4 linked regions of the Saccharomyces cerevisiae S288C genome follow. The gene in region 4 interacts genetically with the main gene of each other region. Each region holds a gene or a part of one and is shown on either strand. Other genes may lie near its edges.

Evidence for each region.
Region 1: mutations in KDX1 (region 4) and HAL9 together harm fitness more than expected from each alone (negative genetic interaction), as found in Saccharomyces cerevisiae (one large-scale study listed by BioGRID).
Region 2: mutations in KDX1 (region 4) and ATP22 together harm fitness more than expected from each alone (negative genetic interaction), as found in Saccharomyces cerevisiae (one large-scale study listed by BioGRID).
Region 3: of KDX1 (region 4) and MET2, extra expression of one impairs growth in a mutant of the other (dosage growth defect), as found in Saccharomyces cerevisiae (one large-scale study listed by BioGRID).

Annotation. Positions count from the first base shown.
Region 1 is NC_001147.6:149,898-155,054, reverse strand, and holds HAL9 (Hal9p), read left to right. Parts: upstream 1-1,564; coding exon 1,565-4,657; downstream 4,658-5,157. Other genes in the region: protein disulfide isomerase MPD2, read left to right, coding at 310-1,143; mismatch repair ATPase MSH2, read right to left, coding at 4,779-5,157. UniProt on the Saccharomyces cerevisiae protein: Putative transcription factor involved in halotolerance.
Region 2 is NC_001136.10:1,174,418-1,180,836, forward strand, and holds ATP22 (Atp22p), read right to left. Parts: upstream 3,758-6,419; coding exon 1,703-3,757; downstream 1-1,702. Other genes in the region: SBE2 (Sbe2p), read left to right, coding at 4,249-6,419. UniProt on the Saccharomyces cerevisiae protein: Translation factor specific for subunit 6 of the mitochondrial ATPase. Required for assembly of the CF(0) component of the ATPase.
Region 3 is NC_001146.8:114,403-120,220, reverse strand, and holds MET2 (homoserine O-acetyltransferase), read right to left. Parts: upstream 2,873-5,818; coding exon 1,412-2,872; downstream 1-1,411. Other genes in the region: BOR1 (Bor1p), read right to left, coding at 1-953; YNL277W-A (uncharacterized protein), read right to left, coding at 3,354-3,542; CAF120 (Caf120p), read right to left, coding at 3,768-5,818. UniProt on the Saccharomyces cerevisiae protein: Commits homoserine to the methionine biosynthesis pathway by catalyzing its O-acetylation.
Region 4 is NC_001143.9:147,651-153,361, reverse strand, and holds KDX1 (putative protein kinase KDX1), read left to right. Parts: upstream 1-2,674; coding exon 2,675-3,976; downstream 3,977-5,711. Other genes in the region: ELF1 (Elf1p), read right to left, coding at 1-93; YKL162C (type II protein arginine methyltransferase), read left to right, coding at 4,524-5,711. UniProt on the Saccharomyces cerevisiae protein: Serine/threonine-protein kinase involved in the SLT2 mitogen-activated (MAP) kinase signaling pathway that regulates cell wall integrity. May also be involved in the mating pheromone and the CWI MAPK pathways.

The sequences.
Region 1 (5,157 bases), on a different chromosome or scaffold from region 4:
AGACATTTTTATAATATTATTTATTTATCAAATTTTATATTGAATAGGTACCATCAAGTTATGCACACATTCTTCATTAAAATACAGTCTGTAAATAATTGTGAATATGGGCGACCTGAATGATGTTCTTATTATCTCAAATATTTCTAATTTTTTTTAATCATTTTTGTTTCTTTAAGAGCAATTAATTTACAGAGCGGGGAACAGTGGCCAATTTTTTGAGCTAAAGAACAGCATAACAACAAAACAACAGAAAAAAAACACAGCGAGTCTAGTGCAAGTACGTCGGCAAAGTAAAACACAAAGGAGATGAAATTGCACGGCTTTTTATTTTCCGTATTATCAACATGCGTCGTCATTTTACCAGCGTTGGCCTACAGTGAAGCTGTCACGATGGTCAAGTCGATTGAGCAGTACTTCGATATCTGCAATAGGAATGATTCTTACACAATGATAAAATACTACACTTCTTGGTGCCAACATTGTAAAACTCTGGCCCCAGTATACGAAGAGCTTGGTGAGCTATACGCCAAAAAAGCTAATAAAGATGATACCCCAATTAACTTCCTTGAAGTTAACTGTGAATTCTTCGGGCCAACTTTATGTACCGACTTGCCTGGATTTCCAATAATTGAACTGGTCAAACCTCGTACTAAGCCCTTAGTTCTTCCGAAGCTCGATTGGTCGTCTATGAAATTTCATGAAAGACTATGGCAAAGAATCAAGACGTGGTTCAACAATCCTAAGTACCAACTGGATACGTCTAGGGTTGTTCGTTTTGAAGGGAGTAGGAACCTAAAGAGTTTAAGCAACTTTATCGATACTGTAAGAAGTAAAGATACAGAAGAAAGATTCATAGAACATATTTTCGATGATTCTAGGAATTGCAATGAAGAATTACGTTCTCAACAGCTTCTGTGTAAAGCTGGTAAAGAATACTACTCTGATACTTTATCTAAATTATACGGTGACGTGAATGGGCTGGAAAAGGAAAGGCGAAGACTAGAAGCTTTAATTAAGCAAAATGGAGATGACTTGAGTAAAGAAGTTAAAGAAAAACTGAAAATCATTCGTCTACAATTGAGCCTATTATCACACATAGAAGACCAGTTAGAAGATACCAGTAGTCATGACGAGCTTTGAACATAAGCTTCGCTCTGTCTTTTACTTTACGAATACCGACTACAGACGGAAGCGGGACCCTCACCCTGAGGTACAACAAATACACAGATACATATATATTTAACAATGTACGTTAGCCGCAATATAAGTGAGATTGTGTAGGTGAAAGATTATGGAGATATACATAAATATTACAGAAGGTCTACCACATGTGTTTTGAATATTGGCTTGTGCTAAGGTAACACTGTTATTTTATTCATTAGAGAAACATCTCTTACCCTGTTTGGTTTTGGTATAATCTCCAATTACGTACATGAAAGATGGCTTTATATAAAAAGCCTTTAATTCGAAAAAAGAATAAATGTCTTAGGGAGCTTATTATCGTACTTTAATTCAACTTAGGAAATCAGCACTCTCCACTCCAAATCTTCGGTTTGAAATAATGGAAAATCAAGGTGGAGATTACAGCCCAAATGGGTTTTCAAACTCAGCAAGCAATATGAATGCGGTTTTTAACAATGAAATCACCGGTAGAAGTGACATTTCAAATGTAAACCATCAAACTGGTACCCCACGTCTGGTTCCTGAAACTCAAATATGGTCGATGCCTGTGCCAGATCAACTGATGACGATGCCTAACAGAGAAAACACCCTTATGACAGGTAGTACAATAGGTCCAAATATCCCCATGAATGTGGCTTATCCCAATACAATATACTCGCCAACAGAGCATCAGTCGCAATTTCAGACACAACAGAACCGTGACATCAGCACGATGATGGAACACACTAACAGTAATGATATGAGCGGCTCTGGTAAAAATCTCAAGAAACGTGTATCAAAGGCCTGTGACCATTGCCGAAAAAGAAAAATCAGATGTGATGAAGTGGACCAGCAGACCAAAAAATGTTCAAACTGTATTAAGTTTCAGTTGCCTTGCACTTTCAAACATCGTGATGAGATTCTTAAGAAGAAAAGAAAATTAGAAATCAAACATCATGCAACACCAGGGGAATCACTTCAAACCTCAAATAGTATTAGCAATCCTGTAGCGTCTTCTTCAGTACCGAACAGTGGAAGGTTTGAACTTTTAAACGGTAATTCCCCCTTAGAAAGCAATATCATCGATAAAGTCTCCAATATTCAAAATAATCTTAACAAAAAAATGAATTCAAAGATTGAAAAATTGGATAGAAAAATGTCTTACATTATTGACAGTGTGGCTAGACTTGAGTGGTTATTGGACAAGGCTGTTAAAAAGCAGGAAGGCAAATACAAGGAAAAGAACAATTTGCCCAAACCAGCGAGAAAAATATACTCTACGGCACTTTTAACTGCTCAAAAACTCTATTGGTTCAAACAAAGTTTAGGAGTGAAAGCGTCCAATGAGGAGTTTCTTTCTCCAATCAGCGAAATATTAAGCATATCTTTAAAATGGTATGCAACTCAAATGAAAAAATTTATGGATTTGTCATCTCCGGCTTTCTTCTCCAGCGAAATAATATTATACTCATTACCTCCGAAAAAGCAAGCAAAGAGACTTCTTGAGAATTTTCATGCTACCTTATTATCCTCTGTAACTGGTATAATATCGTTAAAAGAATGTCTAGACTTAGCAGAAAAGTACTACAGCGAAAGCGGCGAAAAACTCACATATCCTGAACATTTATTATTAAACGTGTGTCTCTGCTCGGGTGCATCTGCCACTCAATCAATTATAAGAGGTGATTCAAAGTTTCTAAGGAAAGATAGATATGATCCAACCTCCCAAGAGTTAAAAAAAATCGAAAACGTTGCCTTACTAAATGCCATGTATTATTATCATAAGCTGTCCACCATCTGTTCAGGTACAAGAACACTACAAGCTTTATTACTACTGAACCGATATTTTCAACTTACCTACGATACTGAACTAGCAAATTGTATTTTAGGAACCGCGATTAGATTGGCGGTTGACATGGAATTAAATAGAAAATCCTCTTACAAGTCACTAGACTTTGAAGAAGCCATAAGGAGAAGAAGAATGTGGTGGCATTGTTTTTGTACAGATAAACTATATTCTTTAATGTTATCCAGACCCCCTATTGTGGGGGAACGCGATATGGATATGCTAACAGATCAAAATTATTATGAAGTGATAAAAACTAATATTCTACCTGATCTTATTGATAAAAAGGAAGATCTCGATAAAATTACTGATGTCAACTCTGCATTGAATGTAGTTGTAAATTTTTGTCAGCACATATCCCTTTTCATATCATATTATGTTTCAAAATTGGTTAGTATTGAGAGTAAAATATACTCTACTTGTTTTGCTGTCAGAAGTACTCTAGATCTTTCATTCGATGCCATGCTTGATAAAATCAAAGATCTCAATGATTCTTTGAACAATTGGAGAGACAACTTGCACGTAAGTATGAAACTAAAAAGTTATAAACAGTATTTATCGGTACTTTACGCTCAAAAATCCCAAGAAAATCCGGCTTTAAGTTTTGAGATTGCATGCTCTCGTGTTTTGAATTGTCATTTTAGGGCGCTATATTCTAAAGTGATTTTGAGCATGATGACTACATCCTTATTGATTGATAACGAACGCCTATACAAAGGTTCTCGCCATGATATTCCTCAGCTATTCATTCTTTTTTCAAGTCAATACTTAAACGCCAGTAAAGAAATGTTACAGCTGTTTCAAGGCATCAATTACCAGGCGCATATGTATAACGAGGTTATGTATCAGTTCTCTACTGCTATGTTTGTTCTCTTCTTTTACGTTGTGGATAATATGAACGATCTAAAAAAGAAAGGTGAGGTAAAAGAGATCATCGATATCCTAAAAAAATCTTATGATCGATTAGTGGGAGAAAATGATGAGCAGTTACTGTTTGACAATGTCAAATGGAACACTTTGATTGTGTTCTACAGCCACTTTTTGAAATACGTTTTGCAACGTTATCATGCTTTGAACGATTCTACGTCAATATTTGATTCTAAACCTTATGATGAAACGATAACGAAAGTTATTATGCATTCAAGAAAGATAAAAGATGAAACAGTCGATCAACTAATTATGAGTCTAAAATCATATGGTTCTCTCCATTCTTTACAAAAGGGCAACGAAGCCGATCTCGCCGATGATGGACTGAATACGAATGATATTTCTTCAGAAGACTTTGCGGAGGAAGCACCAATAAACTTATTTGGAGAGTTATCAGTCGAAATTTTAAAACTATTAAAATCTCACTCCCCCATCTCAAATTTTGGAGACCTATCGCCATCTTCAAATAGGAAAGGAATATCTGATGACTCATCTTTGTACCCAATTCGTTCGGACCTAACATCTCTTGTTTATCCCATCCATAGTTCTGATACCGGAGATACTCTTTCCAGTGGTCTAGAGACCCCTGAAAATTCTAATTTTAATAGTGACAGTGGAATAAAGGAAGATTTCGAAGCTTTTAGAGCCTTATTGCCTTTAGGAAAATTGATCTATGACAGAGATTATTCTTTCGTGAACACTTTTAGGGATTATGAATAAACTGTACCTTGTCTACAAAGATTGTAAAAAATAAAAATTCTTTCCCAATGCATATTATATGTACTATTTGTATCTATATATTATCTATCGATTCTCACTTAAGATGTCGTTGTAATATTAATTATAACAACAAGGCTTTTATATATTTCAGGTAATTATCGTTTTCCTTTTCTGGTTCATTTGCTATAGCACGCAATAGCTCTTGTATTTTATGCTGGGAAGCTTCTTCAGTAATTTTGCTTGGGTCATGTAAACCCTCCTCCTTCACTTTTCTAATCCACTCTTTCAGTAAAGCCTTCAAACGAATATTACCTTCGTTAACTTCCTGTAATGATAGCTTAGCTTTTTTCAAATCTTCATTATTAGTTTTTAGATCGTCCAATTCATTGGCTTTACGTTTAGCCATTTTAACAATTTTTTCTGGAAATTGAACAACTTCTGCAACATGAATACCAAAAGACTGATCTGAAATACCAGGCTCAACTTTGTATAACAACGTG
Region 2 (6,419 bases), on a different chromosome or scaffold from region 4:
GGTATGATACAAAGCACTGCAAGTCATAGCTGAGGTAAAAAAAAAAAGAATGAAGATCTCATTGTTTGGGTTAAATTACTTTCAAGAGCCTCTTTTTTAGGCTCGGTTGGTTAAAAGAGCAAGAACCGAAACACTAGTGCATCAATTTTTATAACAATTTTGTAATTATGTTGATAATTGGCAGTAAAGTTACAAAATACACACTAATTAAAATATTGAACACTTACAATATAAAGCTGATATCAAAATAAATATCGAACAATAAATACAACTCTCTCCAATATCAATATACTGCCGTCGTTATTTAAAAAATTAGCCCACCTGGGAACATTATAGAAAGAGATTTGTTTTTTGGTCTGGCAATGTGTCATAATCAAGCTCTTTGCAATATACATCCCCAACTCATATATTTGTATACAGGAAGAAGAATCGACCACCATCTATCGACTAGCATATTATCATATACGGTGTAAAAAGATGACATAAAAGATGAGAAACAGGGTAATCCCAACAATTGTCTCAATATTTACCTATTTCTCACATTGTCACCGCTCGAAAGTGCATTTTATATACGTTCTTTTGTGACGACTACTTTTGGCGGGAATCTTAGCGCCTTAAATGCAGTGAAAGATTACTCTTTTGAGTTATTGCCTGAATTTTGTCTGCAAAATTGTTATTATTCAGGAATTTAGAATAATTCAACTCTGGAGGCCTGCGCTGTACTACGGGCTCAAGTAATACCGGAGTGTCTCGACAATCCTAATATAAACAGTCTTAGGGAAGTAACCAGTTGTCAAAACGGTTTATCAGATTAATTCACGGAATGTTACTTATCCTATATATTATATAAAATATGGATCATACTAAATGGTGGAAGCGCGGAACCTTGGATCTAAACTGTTGGAATAAGAATCCACTATCGTCTATCAACTAATAGTTGTACTATCAATATATTATCATATACGGTGTTAAGATGATGACATAAGTTATGAGAAGCTGTCATCGAAGTTAGAGGAAGCTGAAGTGCAAGGATTGATAATGTAATAGGATAATGAAACATATAAAACGGAATGAGGAATAATCGTAATATTAGTATGTAGAAATATAGATTCCATTTAGAGGATTCCAATATCATCGAGGAGAACTTCTAGTATATTCTGTACACCTAATATTATAGCCTTTATCAACAATGGAATCCCAACAAGTCTCTCAAAATACACCCATTTCTCATAAACCAATTGTTCAGGCATTTATACGTTTAGATAGCCCAGCTATAGAAGGCGGAGTTTTACCTCATGTTGCTCAATCTGTTCGTTTTCTTAGGTTTCATATGTGTTCTATGAACGTTCAGGATAATGTATTGTCATGCTGACGTATCCCATTCTGAGATGTAACGTCTGTACAAAACAAAGCTTCAGTAGCTCAGTAGGAAGAGCGTCAGTCTCATAATCTGAAGGTCGAGAGTTCGAACCTCCCCTGGAGCATTTTTGCCGAGCACGGTACTTTTTTTTATTCTCAGTAAATGAAATCCAAGGGCTCATTTATTTGAGAAAGTAAATAAGGTATTAGAGGTAATAAAGTAACCATGGGCCAAGAAGACATATTCATAAACTTATGAAAAAACTTTGTAGGTATTAATAACTTATGGGTAAATTACTATCTATGAATGAATATTTACTATTTACTAGTGCTCATCTGGATATTAATTTAGACTTTTCAACGTCTCTCTTATAATATTTGTACATTTATTAACATCATCATCATTAAATCTAGGCTTGCCATCTTCTTCGAACATATCTTCGTCAGTAAACAGGGTGCTATCAGTAGGTTCTTTAATGTTATTATTTTCCACCAATTCCGTCAGTAAAGTTTCGTCAAAGTTTTTGGGAAACGGCCAGCCTTGGTCTTTTATTATCTGTATCAAAGCCATATGCCTGATTTCAAAGCCCCCGAAGAGTATCTTATTGTACCAGGAGCGTGCTCCTTTTTCGTCTCTCATTTTGACATAATGCATTACCATTGCAGAACAAAATTTAAACGTTAAAGGCACCCCATTTTTATGCATCACCTGTAGCAATTCTGATAGTTCAGCCTGCGTTAATGTATGATTTTTATAGGCTACTATGGAAAAGGGACATAGCGTGGTAGTTAAAACCACTTTTTTGGCGAAAGGTTGAGAATAAAAATCCAGAAGAACATTGTAGGCCAGCCTTGGTTCACGAGCTTGGAATCTAATATAATTTAGGAAAACATTGAGGATTCCGGTATCATTTCTCCAATACCTGTATTTATGAGCTTCCTCGGAAAGAAAACTCTTGTACTTGTAATATAAATCAAGAAGACAATTCTTGAATTGACCACTTTCCAGTGAAACAGAACTCGAAGATAAAAGGCTTCTATACAGTTCAGTTAAAATTGGAACAGTCACTGGTGATCCTATTCGCATTGTGTTCGGTAGAATATTATTTTTGTTCTTCAGCTCTCTTGCTAACGTAGGAGCTGTCAAAGTCGTTGATTTTGAATGATAGAGCCACCCCCAAATCCCTAGGGCATTCAGAATATTAGCAGACGCCTTTGAGCTGTATGATGAGAGGAGATATTTACACACCAATTTCGGGTCACGAAAGGCTTGAAAAGATGCAATTAATTCACCCATTAAAAACTCCTTGAACAATTTATATTTCATCAGTGGGCTGCTTTGTAAGCAGGAAATTACATTGAAAAGCTCCTCCTGCCTATTAGATATTCGGAGCAGATTCAAGTAGTGGTGAATGGGAAAATTCAATATGTGTTCGTTTCCATCAATGTGATTAAGCAATCCTGAGCTTACAATGAATTTCAGTTCCTCTTGAAAGGTTTTGATGAATAACTCAACATTTCCACTTTTCAAAAGGTAATAAAGTAAGGTATTGTTGAACTTGACATAACGCAGGTTCTTTTGCTTTGCTCCATCTTTACCAGAATAACAGTGCTGTTCCAACTTCTGTAGTAGAGCTTGAATAAATACTTTAATGAACCTAAAATTTTTCGCCTTAACAAGGCCATTTACTAGAGCGATTAAGCTGTCAAATGTATGCAACTTCAGAACTTTTTCCATTATAAATTTTATGTTTGTCTCATCATGCAAAAATATTTGGAACGTGGCTAACTGCCTCTCCATCTCAGTTCCTTTTATCAGCCTATTGGTAAATCTCGTACAGTAGTTAGAAGTAAAGAGAAGAACATCACTTTTCAAAAGAAAAAGATAGTGATTAAAAGATTCTGATTTTGGAATATGATACCAGAACCATCTGTGGACCTCACCTGGTAGATAAAATCCAATTTTTCTTGCCACCTCTGGGTATAACTCGTGTTGATGCAAAATGATATCATATAAAAGTTTCTTCTTTTCATTTTCTGAGCAATTATTTATATGCAGGGCATTTCGTAGAGATTCAAAAAAAGAGGCGTATTCAGTTACTCCAAAAGTCTCACTTAATACAGTTTTCAATTGTCGGAGCTCGTATAAACGCTTCTGAACATTTTTCGAAGATCCGCTCTTCCTAGAACATGGCACCTGTCGTTCAAAATCGCCAAACTGCAAAGGTTCTGAACGATTTGATTTAATTTTCAATGGACAGTTTTTCGTAGATAAATGGCGCAGATTTGTAATAGGTAGAATTGTGTATGTCCCTGCGCTACCCATATGTTTAAACAGCGGTGAAGTGACCATTTGAGCCAAAGGCTGGGAATAGACACGGCATATACATTTTAACATGCCAATAAGAACATTAAAGTGAACGCTTGGAAGATTTGAAAGCCCATTCTTGCCAGTACGCCAATAAAGTGTGTCGCGCAGAATAGATCTTCATGTAATTCCTTTTTCCCTTTTATGCAATCTATAATGTTAATCAGCGTAGATCACTATATACGCTTTTTTTTTTTTTTTTCAGCTCCGATTAGAGAGCAAAAGAGATGTAACATCGATCCTGCTATAATTAGAATACAAGTGTTGATCTTTAATTGTACTGTTTCTGCGAAAGCTATCGAGCATTTGGCTGTATTCCACTGTCCATTGTATTTTTAACTCTCCTTTTTATCATTCTGAAACATAGAGCTGTTTTGACAAAATTCAGTTTTTTCTCAATTAGTGCTTTCATTCATACGTTCGTTACAAGCTTTGAATTTTAACTTTATTTTCGGGCTTCCACCTTTGCTTCATTATTTTACTTCAGCTCTTTAGCTTTCTGTGACATTCAATTTTATTGTATGACAGCACGTCGTTTGATTAATATAGTTCCTAATACGTCTAAGCTAGACCCTTTAAAGGAGGAGGACTCAACGCATCTGAAACAAAATCAACCTAAGAAGTTTTCCACAAAGGAGTTGATGCTTTCAGAATATACCGAACGCAAAAGTTGCAGCCTTCCGTTGTCTAAATCCCGATCAGGCAGTAGTGCATCCAGTAGCACTACAGGTTCGAACGGAAAGAATATTGGAACAAGACGCCCTAGCTCCAACCTAGATTTCAATTTCGCTAGCCAAGATGTTGTTAAAAATGTATTAGGTAATAATAATCCACACGTACCCACAGCGAAGTGCATTAGGCCAATATCAGATGATTCTATAGGTACATCGAGCACAGAGATATTTTCTTCATCGCACTCAAATACGACATCTGATTCTTTATGTACATCAGATATAAGCTCAGAAGAGGGTGAAATAGCAAACAGTAAGATGGAGGATAACTGCTTCTTCAAAAGTATGAGAGAAGCTGACCATAGAAGCAATATTACGCCCTTAAAGAAAAGCCGACCGGGATCAATACTACAGAAAACACGTACAGCAAGTAGCGCTGATAAAACAATCTGCTCAATGAGTACCATAACTACATGCATTCCATCTCGTCAAAATTCGGTGTCAACTCCTAAACTCTCCAGGACAGTAGGGCTGCCTGGATCGAGCAATACAACCAACAGTATAGCCGCATCACAAACTTCATTCATAAGCGAGAATGACTCTCCTCTTAAACATCATTGCATGAGTACCGCAACTATCCAAGAACCAAAACTCATGCCGATCACAAAAACGCCGTATGTGCATTCCAATAGTACTTCTGTAATATTACCATATAAAACAACCCAACTTACTCCTTCTCAACGTTACCGTTTAAGGAAAGAGCAAAATGACCAATCTTTGCGTAAAGCCATAAAAATGAAAGAAAAATTTTATGAAGATCAAGACGTTAACTTGGAACTTCAAGAGGGCGATGTCGACGGCTCGTTAATTTGGAACATTCCAATGGCATCTTTATCGACCAGTTCTTTTTTAACATTATCTAAGTTTAATAGAAAAGAAATGAGTTTAGATTCAGCGCGGGGGGATGAAGAGATATTAATACAGGAGAACAATTGCGAAGGCAAACAACACTCATCTTCGGCTCTCTGTGTGGACAAAACTTTCCATCAGGTTCATAGTACTAGAAAACATACATCAAATTCAAGTAACACTTTAAAAGAATCATGTCTGGACTATAAGGAGCTTCCGCCAACATGCATTCCTGGTATATCTCCTGTGTCTGATTCACAGTACATCCAGGATACAATGAAAAATCTCTCCCAAATATACCTGCATAGTTCCGAAAAAATCTCCAAAAGTATTCTTTCTGGTCGTTCAAGATCTGTACAGAGTTTACCACTGGAATTTAAAGAAGCCAGTAGTCAGGGAATGGAAGACCTAATGCTAGTTTCAGAGGACAAACTAAAGGCCGTAAGTCATTTCCGTCCGAGTTGGCTCCCGCCCAAGGATTTCAAAGAGAGGAAATTGCAAGATAAACAAATCTACAAAAATATCGACTTAGCATCAATGGAAGAGTTGCAAAAAAATAAAGAACGTGACGAAAAAGCCAAAAAGAATGAGCAGAATAAGGTCAAATTCCAGCATTTACTGGACCGAGGCATTACTCGTAACTCGTCATTAAGTGAATTAAAGAAAATTATTTGGGAAACACCTTTGATATCTAAAGTACGGCTTCAAATATATAGTCAACTTCTACAAAGTGACAATTGCTTGATAACAAAATGTTTTATTGAATCATTTGAGGAAGTAATGCAGCTACTCAACAAAATGGATTTTCCCAAAGATAAAGAATTTGAAATAAGACAGCTTATTGAACACGATGTACAGGAAAAGGTTTTTTATAAAAATGGAACAGATAAGCAAGTGGTTTCTGACTTGATGCTATTACTGCAACTGAAATCTATATCTCAACAAGGTTTGGTTACTGGTGATGAGATGCTATTCTACCATTTTTTAACTGATCAATCTTTTGGGACTTTGAAGGAAACATGGGAAATGGTCAACTTGATACAGATGACGTGCTTCAGTGAAATTTGCAAGGAAAAATACGATTCAAGAATATTAAATCCCAGAGGAATTGT
Region 3 (5,818 bases), on a different chromosome or scaffold from region 4:
GTATTTTGAGGCCTATTGACTTTGGAAGTAGGAAAAAAAGCTTTCGTAATAGGCAATTTTTTAAATTTGACATCATGCAAGTAGCCACCAAAATGTGTAAATGATGACCAGAATAGCACTGAAAGCGCAGTTGAATAATCAGATATGAATGTTCTGATCCTATGAGAAAAGAGGGGGTAATAATGAAATAATTTAAAGAAAAGACCAAACGCAGTCATAACCAGCGCCACCACGACACTAGCAAATCCGTCTTGTACTGATTTCTCCCCTGATTTAGCACTGAACTGTCTTGTTAAAATTTGTATTCCTTTTTGAATGTAGACCACATTAATAAATAATCCAAATATGTCACATGGGAACGTAGTCACGTATTGCAAGAGGCAAACGGCGTTCGTAAATGCTAAAACTAAATGAAAAATCATAGACCACATACAAATCCAAAACATGAAGCCAAAATAGCTGGTATTCAAAGGCTTTATAATTTCGTAGACCGTATAATTAAAAATAGAGATGGGGCCAGTAACACCCACTATACATAAGGGCTGTCCACCAAGAACTCCAAAAACAATTCCAGCCATTGCACTGGATAGAAGTACTTCGTTCACACCATAGGAATTATCAGTCCTATCAAACATATCTTGCGCAAAGGCTATTGCAGGTAGCAGGTTATTAAAGTAGGTGTCAACAATAGAGGGAATAACTCTGTAATTAAACGCATCTACCCAATCTGACTTGTAATACGGTATTCTGTCCTTCAAATCGAGCCATATGCCTATACCTAGCGTCGGGAATCGACGTCGGGATAACTTCTCGTGGCTCTCTTCATCACTTCTACTTTCTGATACCGATGATTCTCTGTCTAGCTCATCGTTTGTCCGTTCCAATGCTTGCGCACACTCGTCGGAGGCTGTACAACCGCGACTAACGGTAACTCGTGTGCTCTCATTCGACATGCCTTGCCAGCGCTATTACTACTTTTTGGATGATAAAGGATATGAGTATGATTATTGCGATATGCTTACTTTTACGCCACGAGTGATCTAAAAATTACTTCAGTGATGTATTTTCCCCGCTAAACGAAAAAAGTTTGAAGTAAGCTAAGGCTACAGGGAGAAGAACAGTTGTTCATGTAATGTCGAGTGGCAACGCAAGAGTGGCTGTCTACAAGTGCGGTCAAAATGTGGAAAGCTCTAAAGCACTAGCTATTACTCTTCTGTTTTTTTTTTTTTTTTTCATTCTTCTTTCGTTTTTTAACAACGAGGACAAAAAAGAGAAATCTACTACTACCGTTAGTGTTACTAGAAACTTTGTTATAGTTAATTAATGCTGTTTGTCTATATATAAATATAGATATAGATATACATGTACTGGTTTATCTATGTTATGCCTGAGGTATGTGTGGTATCTATCCCTACCAGTTGGTAACTTCTTCGGCCTCACCAAAGACAGACGTCTTCGTTTCATCGTTACCAACGTCACCTCCCCAAGCTCTTGGAGCGGCATCGGTAATGGCCTTGCAGTTGGTTTTTAAAAATTGTACTATCAGTTTGTTTATCAGCTTAAACTCCAATAGGAAGGCATCGTGGCCTTCGGGAGATTCAATTTTTTCTAATTGCGACTTCGGTATGTGCTCAGCCAAAAATTCTTGTTCTGAATATGTGAACAGTCCATCAGATTGGATACCGATGATCAGGGATGGTTGTTGGATGGTAGAAAGGACCTCAGTGATGTCATCTACTCTGTCTCTTGCCAAATCGTGCGTATCCAGTTTACGTGTGATGGCAATGTAACAATTGGCGTCGAACCTATTGATGAACTTTGTGCCCTGGTACCTCAAGTAACTTTGTGCAGAAAAATACGTCTGCGCAGGCTTTATGTCCTTCACTTCACCCGTTACAGAACTTACCGAAGTCATCGATGTTGAAGAATTCAATGAATCCGAAGAAGATGCGGTGGACACCACGCTTTGACCTTTTTGCCCAGAAATGCCAGCGATGGCAGTGCTGGCTTTTGTTTTATACCCATCATTGTGGATTTGTAGGGAGTGTTCGCTGACAGTAGATGGTTTGCGTGTCTCCTCCCTTTGAGCTTTTTGTTGTTGTGCTATTGAAGGAGATCTTCTGGAGAATTTGTTCTCGAAACTGTTTCTTGTCCTGTACGTCAACAATGCAGACATACGTGCAGCCGATAGTCCGGCCACAGGTTGCTCCTCTACCGGATAGTACCCGTCCAAGTAGTTGGGATCTGAGTAAATCGATTGTCTTTGAGCCTCAGACCACGATATGCACCAGGCAGAATGTCTTGCTGATGTCGCCAGAGCAACCATATTCTTCACATATTCCTTACCATACATGGCAGCCCATTCCAAACTCAGCATCCCCCCCATAGAGCCACCAATAACACAGGCTATTGACTTTACTCCCAGAGAATCCAGAACAATTCTGTGAGCTCTAACGTCATCGCGCACAGTACATAATGGGAATTCGGGTCCATATCTAACGCCCGTCTCCTCATTTATCGTTAATGGCGAAAAAGACCCATATGGAGAGCCCATAGAGTTTAAACATATGATAAAAAACCTTGATGGGTCGAATGCTAAGTCGTTACCCAGAAGAGGGCCCCACCAGTCAGCAACATCTGCGGACCCAGTCAAGGCATGACAAATTACCAGAACATTATCACCAGCTTCATTCAGTGTACCCCACGTCTTATAAGCAATAGGGAAATTATTTATGACCACGCCAGACTCAAGCACTAGTTCCGGAACTTGAACAATCCTCTGCCCTTGAACTAGTTTGAGCAATGGGTTAGTTTCCTTAATCTCCTCAATGTCCAGCTCTTGGAGCGTTTTCGATTTTAAAGTATGCGACATTCCTTTTATACTACGTTTTTTTCTTTCTTTTCTATTATTCCAAATAAAGAGAAACTTTAGACGGACCCTGTGACTAAAAAAATTATCGAAGACTTGACTGTTCTAGAGTTACTTTTGTTTATTAAAAGCAAGAAATATCCGTGAACAAGATAGCAGGTAGGTTGTACAACGAAGCGGAAGCTCATCTATTGGACGCAGCTGTATTTTGAATATATATATATATGTAATGTGTATATTTGTGGGTGTGTGCCAAATCCAAACGATTAACATGACTTAGTTTACTATCAAATGAGTGCATCCACAATTTTTTGCAGGCAATGTGTGGCGCCTTCCGCAGTGAGGCGCATCACGTGAAAATACGTCAATGTGGGGAGCCACTAACAATAGCAAGAAATAAGTACAAGTAATAGCATAACCTTGACAAACTGAACTAATGTAAGCGTTTTTCATGACTAGTGCTTTGAAGTACAATTTATACTGCTCAGAGGCTCATTCGATTGTGTGTTTTTAGCAACTTTATGAAGAGAGTGAAAAGAAATATCACGTGATTATTAGTAGTCTGCGATTTTTTTTTTTTCAGTTTTTTTTTTCCCACTAATACTGGCAGAGAGCGTAAAGGGGGCAATATATGGCACATCTTTACTGGCTGTCCATAATAGGCAAGTGTCATGTGCCCTAACAGAAAAAAAGTTAAAAATTGCCCGGAGAAAATACAAGAATCTGTCTAAATGTATATTTACGGATGAGACACTACTTATATAGTTTAGTTATTATCATGAAGTATTATTACAATCGTGCCCAGAAAGTGAGATGAAAAACTGGGATACGGAAGCCTGGCGCTTGTTTCTTTTCTTAATTGTCTCTCTTTTTGTAAAATTACAACCAGTCGGTCGAGTTACTGGGCATATGGGTTCTTCGTAGTTGCAGATGGCATGAACTGTGAGAATCCGTCCTTCTTTTGTGGACGGGCTTGGGAGTTTTGCAATTGTGGTGCCGGCGGACGATAGTAACCAGCACTACCGTTTTGAGGCTGGTTCAGGTTAGGGGGCGGACGGTAGTGTGCGGATGGTGAGTTAGGTGTAGGCCATGGCTGCTGAGGCCTAGTATTGTAGTTGACGTTAGCTGGCTGAAATGGTGGTGCTGCCCCAGCATATCCGCCAGGAGAGCCCATGTGCGTATTCATCGCATAAGGTTGGTACGGGCGATTGGGCTGCTGCAGGATAGGCATGGGCACCTGCTGCGGGTGATATTGCGCTTGCATGTTTGGCCTGTTCCCCGTTGAGTATGGGTTTCCGGGGAGATGATATGCTTGTGGTTGTGTATCTGAGGGATGAGGACGTTGGTAAATATTTGAAGGCGAGGGGCGGTTATTCCATCCCTGATTGTATGGACCTGGTGGCGCTCTCGTCTTTGGATTCCTGGGCGAACCCATTGCCGAGTTGTTTGCACCATACATTTTGTTAGGACTATTAATGTTTGCTGGCTGCACGTAGGAGGAAATCTGCTGGCCTGATGGGACTGGCTGGCCCCTCTGAGGGGTAATGCTACGATCAGTTTTGCTGTGGGTGTGAGTGGTATTCAACCTTGTGCCAGGTTTCGCGTATGGGTTACCTATTTCCAGCGGGTTGGAGGGTTTCTCGGGAGACCGCTTTGGCACTTCATGTCGTGATCTGTGTTCCGTTATGTATTGTCTCTCGATATCGTCATCGGGGGTTATGCCCAATCCAGTTGATTGAAAGGCCGCAGGGACCTTAGCTAAGGGTGTTCTATCATCCTTGTTGTAGTCTCTTTCTTCAGCACGCAATTGGTCTTGTGCCATAAAATCTGGGTCGAACAGGTTCATATCGTCCTCGTCGTTATTGTTACCAAAATCCACTTGTGAATATGACCCGTTTATTCTGTCCGAATCGGAGTTTGAATTTATACTTTCCATGCCTAGTTCATTAATTCTTTGGGTTAAACTATTTAATTCTTGTAAAACGGCATGTTCTTCCTCATTGCCATTAGAAAAGTCACTTGGTGTAAAGGATTTTCTTGAATTGTAGTTGCTCTCTGAATGAACTGACGCCCGTTGAAAACGAAGGTAAGTTTCATCAGAAGATCCGTTAAGACCCTCAGTGTGACCAAAGGGACCATTGGAGTATTTTTCGTAGATTGCAGACAAATCTGATTCCACAGAGAGCTTCTTCTCATTAGAGCATTTAGAATCCACAGACAACAGATTTTTGTCTGTCATGAACTTGTCAAAATTGGACTCGGGAATTTCTAACTTCATATTCCGGACCTTTTCCAAACTTTCGTCCACGTTCTTACCACAAGAGGTTTCTCCTCTTTCAAATTTCTCAGGAGTGGTCGCTTTCCTGTCGTTATTATTGTAAGGAACTGTCCTCGACTTGGCTCTGTCTGATGGTGAATCGTTTACAGATGACGCAAACGGCTTGGGATGTCTTTGCTTCGCATAAGGTGAACCTTCTGTCACTCTTGTTCTGAAGGATGCATCAGTAGGTGTGTGGACTTTGTGTGGACTTTCAGATATCACTAGTGGAGGACTTTTACGTTTAATAGATGGACTATCAGAGTTATTAAGGTCCTGTTCAGAAGAAGATGACAATTTTACACGCTCTCTCTTTGGCAAACTGTTCTTCGAGCTGTTATTCGAAGAAGATTTAGACCCGTAAGAAAGTTTCGGTGATAAAACACCATCGGCCCTTTCAAATAAGTCTGCTGAACCAAGGAAAGGAGAAGGTAGAGGAGAAGTAATATTGGAAGTAGAATTACACCCACAGTAGCCTTGTGCTATTTTCCTTTGTAAAATATCACTGATATGTTCCTTCCATTCGTTATTCGACCAGTGTAAGCTTGATACAGAATTAGTCAATGGAAGTAAATCCTCCACTTCCAAGTAGTATATATGTGGCAAAACTGGCAAACCAAACAAAAGTGAAT
Region 4 (5,711 bases):
TTCATGATTACAAAATAAACAATTGAATTTCGTATCTAATTTTTGGACCAGTCTCTTGGTAGGCTTTCTTGTTGACTTCTTTCTTTTACCCATGGCTCGTTAATTGTTTTCAGTGTTTTTTATGACATTCTTCTTCATAATTCTCCCCATCTTTATTACTATTCCTTTTCCAATTATTTGTAGATTATTGCTTTACCAAAGTTTAATCATTTTAAACGTTTTTGTTTCTTCCGTTTTCAGAATTTTTACAATTTGTCACCGAAATAGCAGTTTTTGTTTAATTTTAACGCTATGGGGTAAAAATTTTGGGCCCAATTTCAACTGAAAGAAGAGATATTTTAAATATGATAAGATAATCTTATAACTACGAATTTATTATTTTGTACGTGTCATAATAAATAAGGAAGTGCCTGAAGAGCGTTAAGTAACTTTGGAATCTTCGTTATGAAAACATTGGCTATTTGTTTCAGAAAAAAGCCGTTTAAGTACTTAAAAGAATAGTTATGTTTATATAGGTATGGTGACGAGGCTCTACATAGGACTAATAATGGTGATTTCCCGTCCAGTTTGGTTTACCCTCGTACCATCAAAAGCCTACAAATTCACAGGAAAATCGAAAAAAGATCCTTTCAAAGGTATTTTTCGTCGTGGTTTATTTCCAATGTTGTCATCTTTTTGTCTAACATCTCTCCCACCGATTTTGTCTCACTAACGCGATGATTTTGAATAGGAATGTAGTTTGAACTGTGAAATCATGACAGAATAAGCATGTTACATATAAATATTGGTTACCGTATTTCTTACGCTAGCATACTTCAAGTGTCTTTTGTACTTCTTAAGTTCTTTTGTTTTTGGATAATGATTTAATGCGACACATTGAAAAGGATAATGAATTCTTGCTGGGAACCTCGAACCAAATATTGTGACCTGGAAATGTTGTGTGCAAGACACCGTGAAATCACGCAATAAGACATATCTATACCGTGACAACTCCAAAAAATCCTAAAAACGGCAATTACGTGCAGAAGAATAACGGAAGTTCAGATAGTGGAGAGAAGAATTTATTCTTGTCCCTAAAATGCCCACCAGAGCAGCACTTCTAGTAAGCACATGCATGCTCCACCGCAAATCATCATATTGACGGTATCACACTATAAAAGAATAAAACATGTTGCAAGGCATAATTACTACCGAATTGCAAAAAATTGAACACCAACTTAGCGTGGTTCTATCAGAGAACGACATATCAATTCCTCACAATGAAAAACTAACTGACTAGAATACTTCCACTTTGGTGCCGCATTTGATGAAACAGCAAATAATACCTACACTTAAGTTGAATGAAGATTTCGTTTTCTTTGAGATAGCTCGAGGACATTCACGAAAGAAAAAATTTTAAAGAACAGTTTATAAGCTCTTTTTTAGAATCCTATTCTGTTTACTTCACTGTTCACTTACTTTCGGTCCCACATCTACAAAACATCTACAACAAGAACGTGGGCGATACAGCAAAAAATCACTTGAAATAACAGAATCAAGTTTCTTATCCGATTTCCTACTTTTGAGCTCCGGCTTATGTTGAAGATGTTACTTTTCTTTGTCTCTAAGTGATCTTTATTTTTCTGGCTCCAGTGAAATTTGGTAATAGCATAGTCACTTCAACTAAAGTCTGATAGTAATACTTGCAAATATTGCAAAACTTGGAAGAATGTTAATGAATCATTTCTTGCACCATTCTTTCAATCATCTCAATCTCCTGCTGTGATGTTTAAGTATAACATTGAAGACTATGCCCTAATTTCCAATGTTATTTAGTTTTAAGCATATCTTTGTTTCTAACAGGAAACTCAGGCCCACATCCGCAAAAAAATATGTGCCAAAAAACTTTCAACACTTCAAAGATACTTACCACTGCAGGAAAATAATCTACGTGTAACGGTTTGAAAATAAATTTGACTTCATAATTGGACATAAGTACTCCATCGCCATCCCTTTTTAAAGAAGTTTCCACAAGAATGAATGGCTAATCGCAACTAAATCTTTTCCTTGCAAACGTAACACAGTATCGACATTTTCTTACTCAATCCAACGAAGGAATAACCTATCTAAAAAATAAACGCCGTAGTTTTCAGCCCACAAGACGTCATTAAAAGATTTGTTAATTATAAAAATAGAAATATTTCTACCAGCATGATTATTCGTTACTTGAAAGTCCCCAATAAATTTCACTGTTTCCGTTAACTGTTGTAGTTATTAAACGCAGCAAACAGATTATTTTGAACAACACCGGAGAAACACGCGCAGACCCATTCGAGTTAAAAATAGTAACTCGCGATCAATCAATGCAGGAAGCACCGTAGGAATTAGTAAGAACTCGTATTTTGATTGAAAATGCCATGAAAGCAATTGACTTGCTGCAGTAAAAAGCGCTGCCACAAACTTTGTAATTTTCGACAATGACGTTCTTTTCAGATGGTTACTGTCTTTTTTTGGAAGAAACAAAAGAAGGTACTTTTATGATGTTATACTAGGCAAAAAGCCTATTTAATGTAAGTCCTAATTGTCGTTTGAGACTGGATGAAAAGGGACAAAATGGAAGGATAACTAAAGGTGACTTACCGCCAGATTAATTCGGCCTGGAATAGTTTGATATCGAAGAAAGATTCACAATTAAATGGCGACTGACACCGAGAGGTGTATTTTCCGTGCATTCGGCCAAGATTTTATCCTAAATAAACATTTTCATTTGACAGGTAAGATTGGTCGGGGCTCACACAGCCTTATTTGTTCTTCAACTTACACAGAATCGAACGAGGAAACTCACGTGGCTATCAGAAAAATACCAAACGCGTTTGGCAATAAACTATCTTGCAAGAGAACTCTTCGTGAATTGAAACTACTAAGACATTTAAGAGGGCACCCAAATATAGTGTGGCTCTTCGATACTGATATAGTATTTTACCCAAATGGGGCACTAAATGGCGTTTATTTATATGAAGAACTAATGGAATGTGACCTTTCTCAAATTATAAGGTCCGAACAACGCCTGGAAGACGCACACTTTCAAAGCTTCATATATCAGATACTGTGTGCTCTGAAATACATACATTCTGCTAATGTTTTACATTGTGACCTGAAACCAAAAAACTTACTTGTTAATAGTGATTGCCAACTAAAAATTTGTAATTTTGGGCTATCGTGTAGTTATTCAGAAAACCACAAGGTTAACGACGGCTTCATTAAGGGTTATATAACCTCGATATGGTATAAAGCACCAGAAATTTTGCTGAATTATCAAGAATGCACAAAAGCTGTCGATATTTGGTCAACAGGCTGTATCTTGGCCGAACTACTTGGTAGGAAACCAATGTTTGAAGGGAAGGATTATGTAGATCATTTGAATCATATTCTACAAATACTTGGAACACCACCTGAGGAAACATTGCAGGAAATTGCCTCTCAAAAGGTGTATAATTATATCTTTCAGTTCGGTAATATCCCGGGAAGATCGTTTGAAAGCATACTACCTGGTGCTAATCCAGAAGCGCTTGAATTGCTAAAGAAAATGCTAGAATTTGATCCTAAAAAAAGGATTACTGTAGAGGATGCACTAGAGCATCCATATTTGTCAATGTGGCATGATATAGATGAGGAATTCTCATGTCAAAAGACCTTTAGATTCGAATTCGAGCATATCGAAAGTATGGCGGAATTAGGAAACGAAGTTATAAAGGAAGTATTTGATTTCAGGAAAGTTGTTAGAAAACATCCTATTAGCGGTGATTCCCCATCATCATCACTATCTTTAGAGGATGCCATTCCTCAAGAAGTTGTACAGGTCCATCCTTCTAGGAAAGTTTTACCCAGTTATAGTCCTGAATTTTCCTATGTAAGCCAACTTCCATCACTAACTACAACCCAGCCATATCAAAACCTTATGGGAATAAGCTCTAATTCATTTCAGGGTGTTAACTAAAAGGAAAACACCTTCAAACAAGATACTAAGCATGAAAATAGTGAACTACTGAACGGACCTACTGAGCCAAATATAACAAAAATGAGCCCAGTTTCATCGTCTCCCCCAGGTCACGATATAAATGTCAATGATGGTACAAACCAAAATACAAATGAGGATGACAGCGATTTTTTCTTCGACCTAGAAAAAGAACTTGAATTATTTAGACGATAAATTTTTGTAGCAGAAAACCACAACTAATAGATGCGCACATACACTATCTATAATGAATATGTAAAATGCCTGTTCACCTTCTTAATTATTGGTATATACTTCAAATATTGCAAAAAGAGAAAGTCCTCTCGGCGGTTTTGCAGTTCCTTCCGAAAGCGGGAAAAACCAAAATGTGAGAAAGTAGGATACACCATTGCGTAGATTCGCGATGATCCGAATATAAACATGATTCCCTCGTCAGTCCTCTCTCAAGTTTTCTTTCCCGTTTTAAATAGCTTACTAATATTTTCACAAAAAAGTTGATATCATTTAAAGGTGCTTTTGGCGGGATTGAATGATGAAAAGATTACACCCCTTGAGAATTCAAGTTCATCTGAAATCTGATTACCCACTGTTTACTTTCGAGCAATTACTCTCTACAAATGGGATAAGAAGAGGCCAAACTGCGAGAATTTCTTTGAAAGATTACATAGAGTGGCAAAATTTCCCAAACATAATGAAAAGAGAAAATTTTTTTACGCAAAGGAAGCCTGTAACTACAACCGCAAAAGAAGAACCCTTTTCATTTGATAACATTCTTGACTGTGAGCCACAATTTAGCAAATGCCTTGCCAAATGGCTACTGGTTAATTACAAATTAAATGACTATCCTTATTACGATCTTAACATTGTGAATATTTACACGGATTTACCCCAAGCAATTCAGATTTGCAAAAATTTAATGTCATATCTCAAGTCTACTTTATCTGATAACATGTTCCAGAAAATAAAATATTTCATGGTACCTCTATACAAGTGTGACAAAATACCTTCGAAGCTCTTAGACGGAATACCTGGATCAGTCAGTTTGGTACAAGATTATCCGGTTTCCCCATATTTTTTACAGAAAAAATTTCACATAGAGGATCCAATCCAAATTTTGATGCTTAATGATGTTATAAAATACACAACCCACGATTTAGTAAGGTACTCTTCAGATGACAAAGGGTGGCAACAGTGCTTTGTGGATATCAATAAGAATGGACAAAAATCCAAGAGCTTTGATAGCGCCATTGACTACTCATGTGAACTTGCATTAGAACAAATGTTCAATGATCGATCCCATGTAAGTCCTGGTAAAGAACTTTATATCCCCACTAAATTAATTGAGATATTGATGACAATCAAGAATAATATTCCAGAACATAGACTTTTCATTGTAGACACCCCGCAAAGATCGAGCCCAACAATAATATCGTTATTAAAGAGTTTAATAAGCCCACGGCCGACGGGATCTAGCCAGATAGTACAGCCATATTCGGATTCAATATTTTCAGACAAACGGAGTGGAAGAATATGCTTCATGACGGACTTCTTACAGTTACAGAACATTTATAATGGTATTAACAGTTCTTCTAGTAGCTGCGAAGTCGAAGACGTTGCTGATTTTGTTGAAAAATGGATTAGCCCAAGTGAGAGAAGCACACTTTCGTCGCAGAATGGAAATAGGCCTCAACTAGAAGACATAAAAAATAGCTCTTTG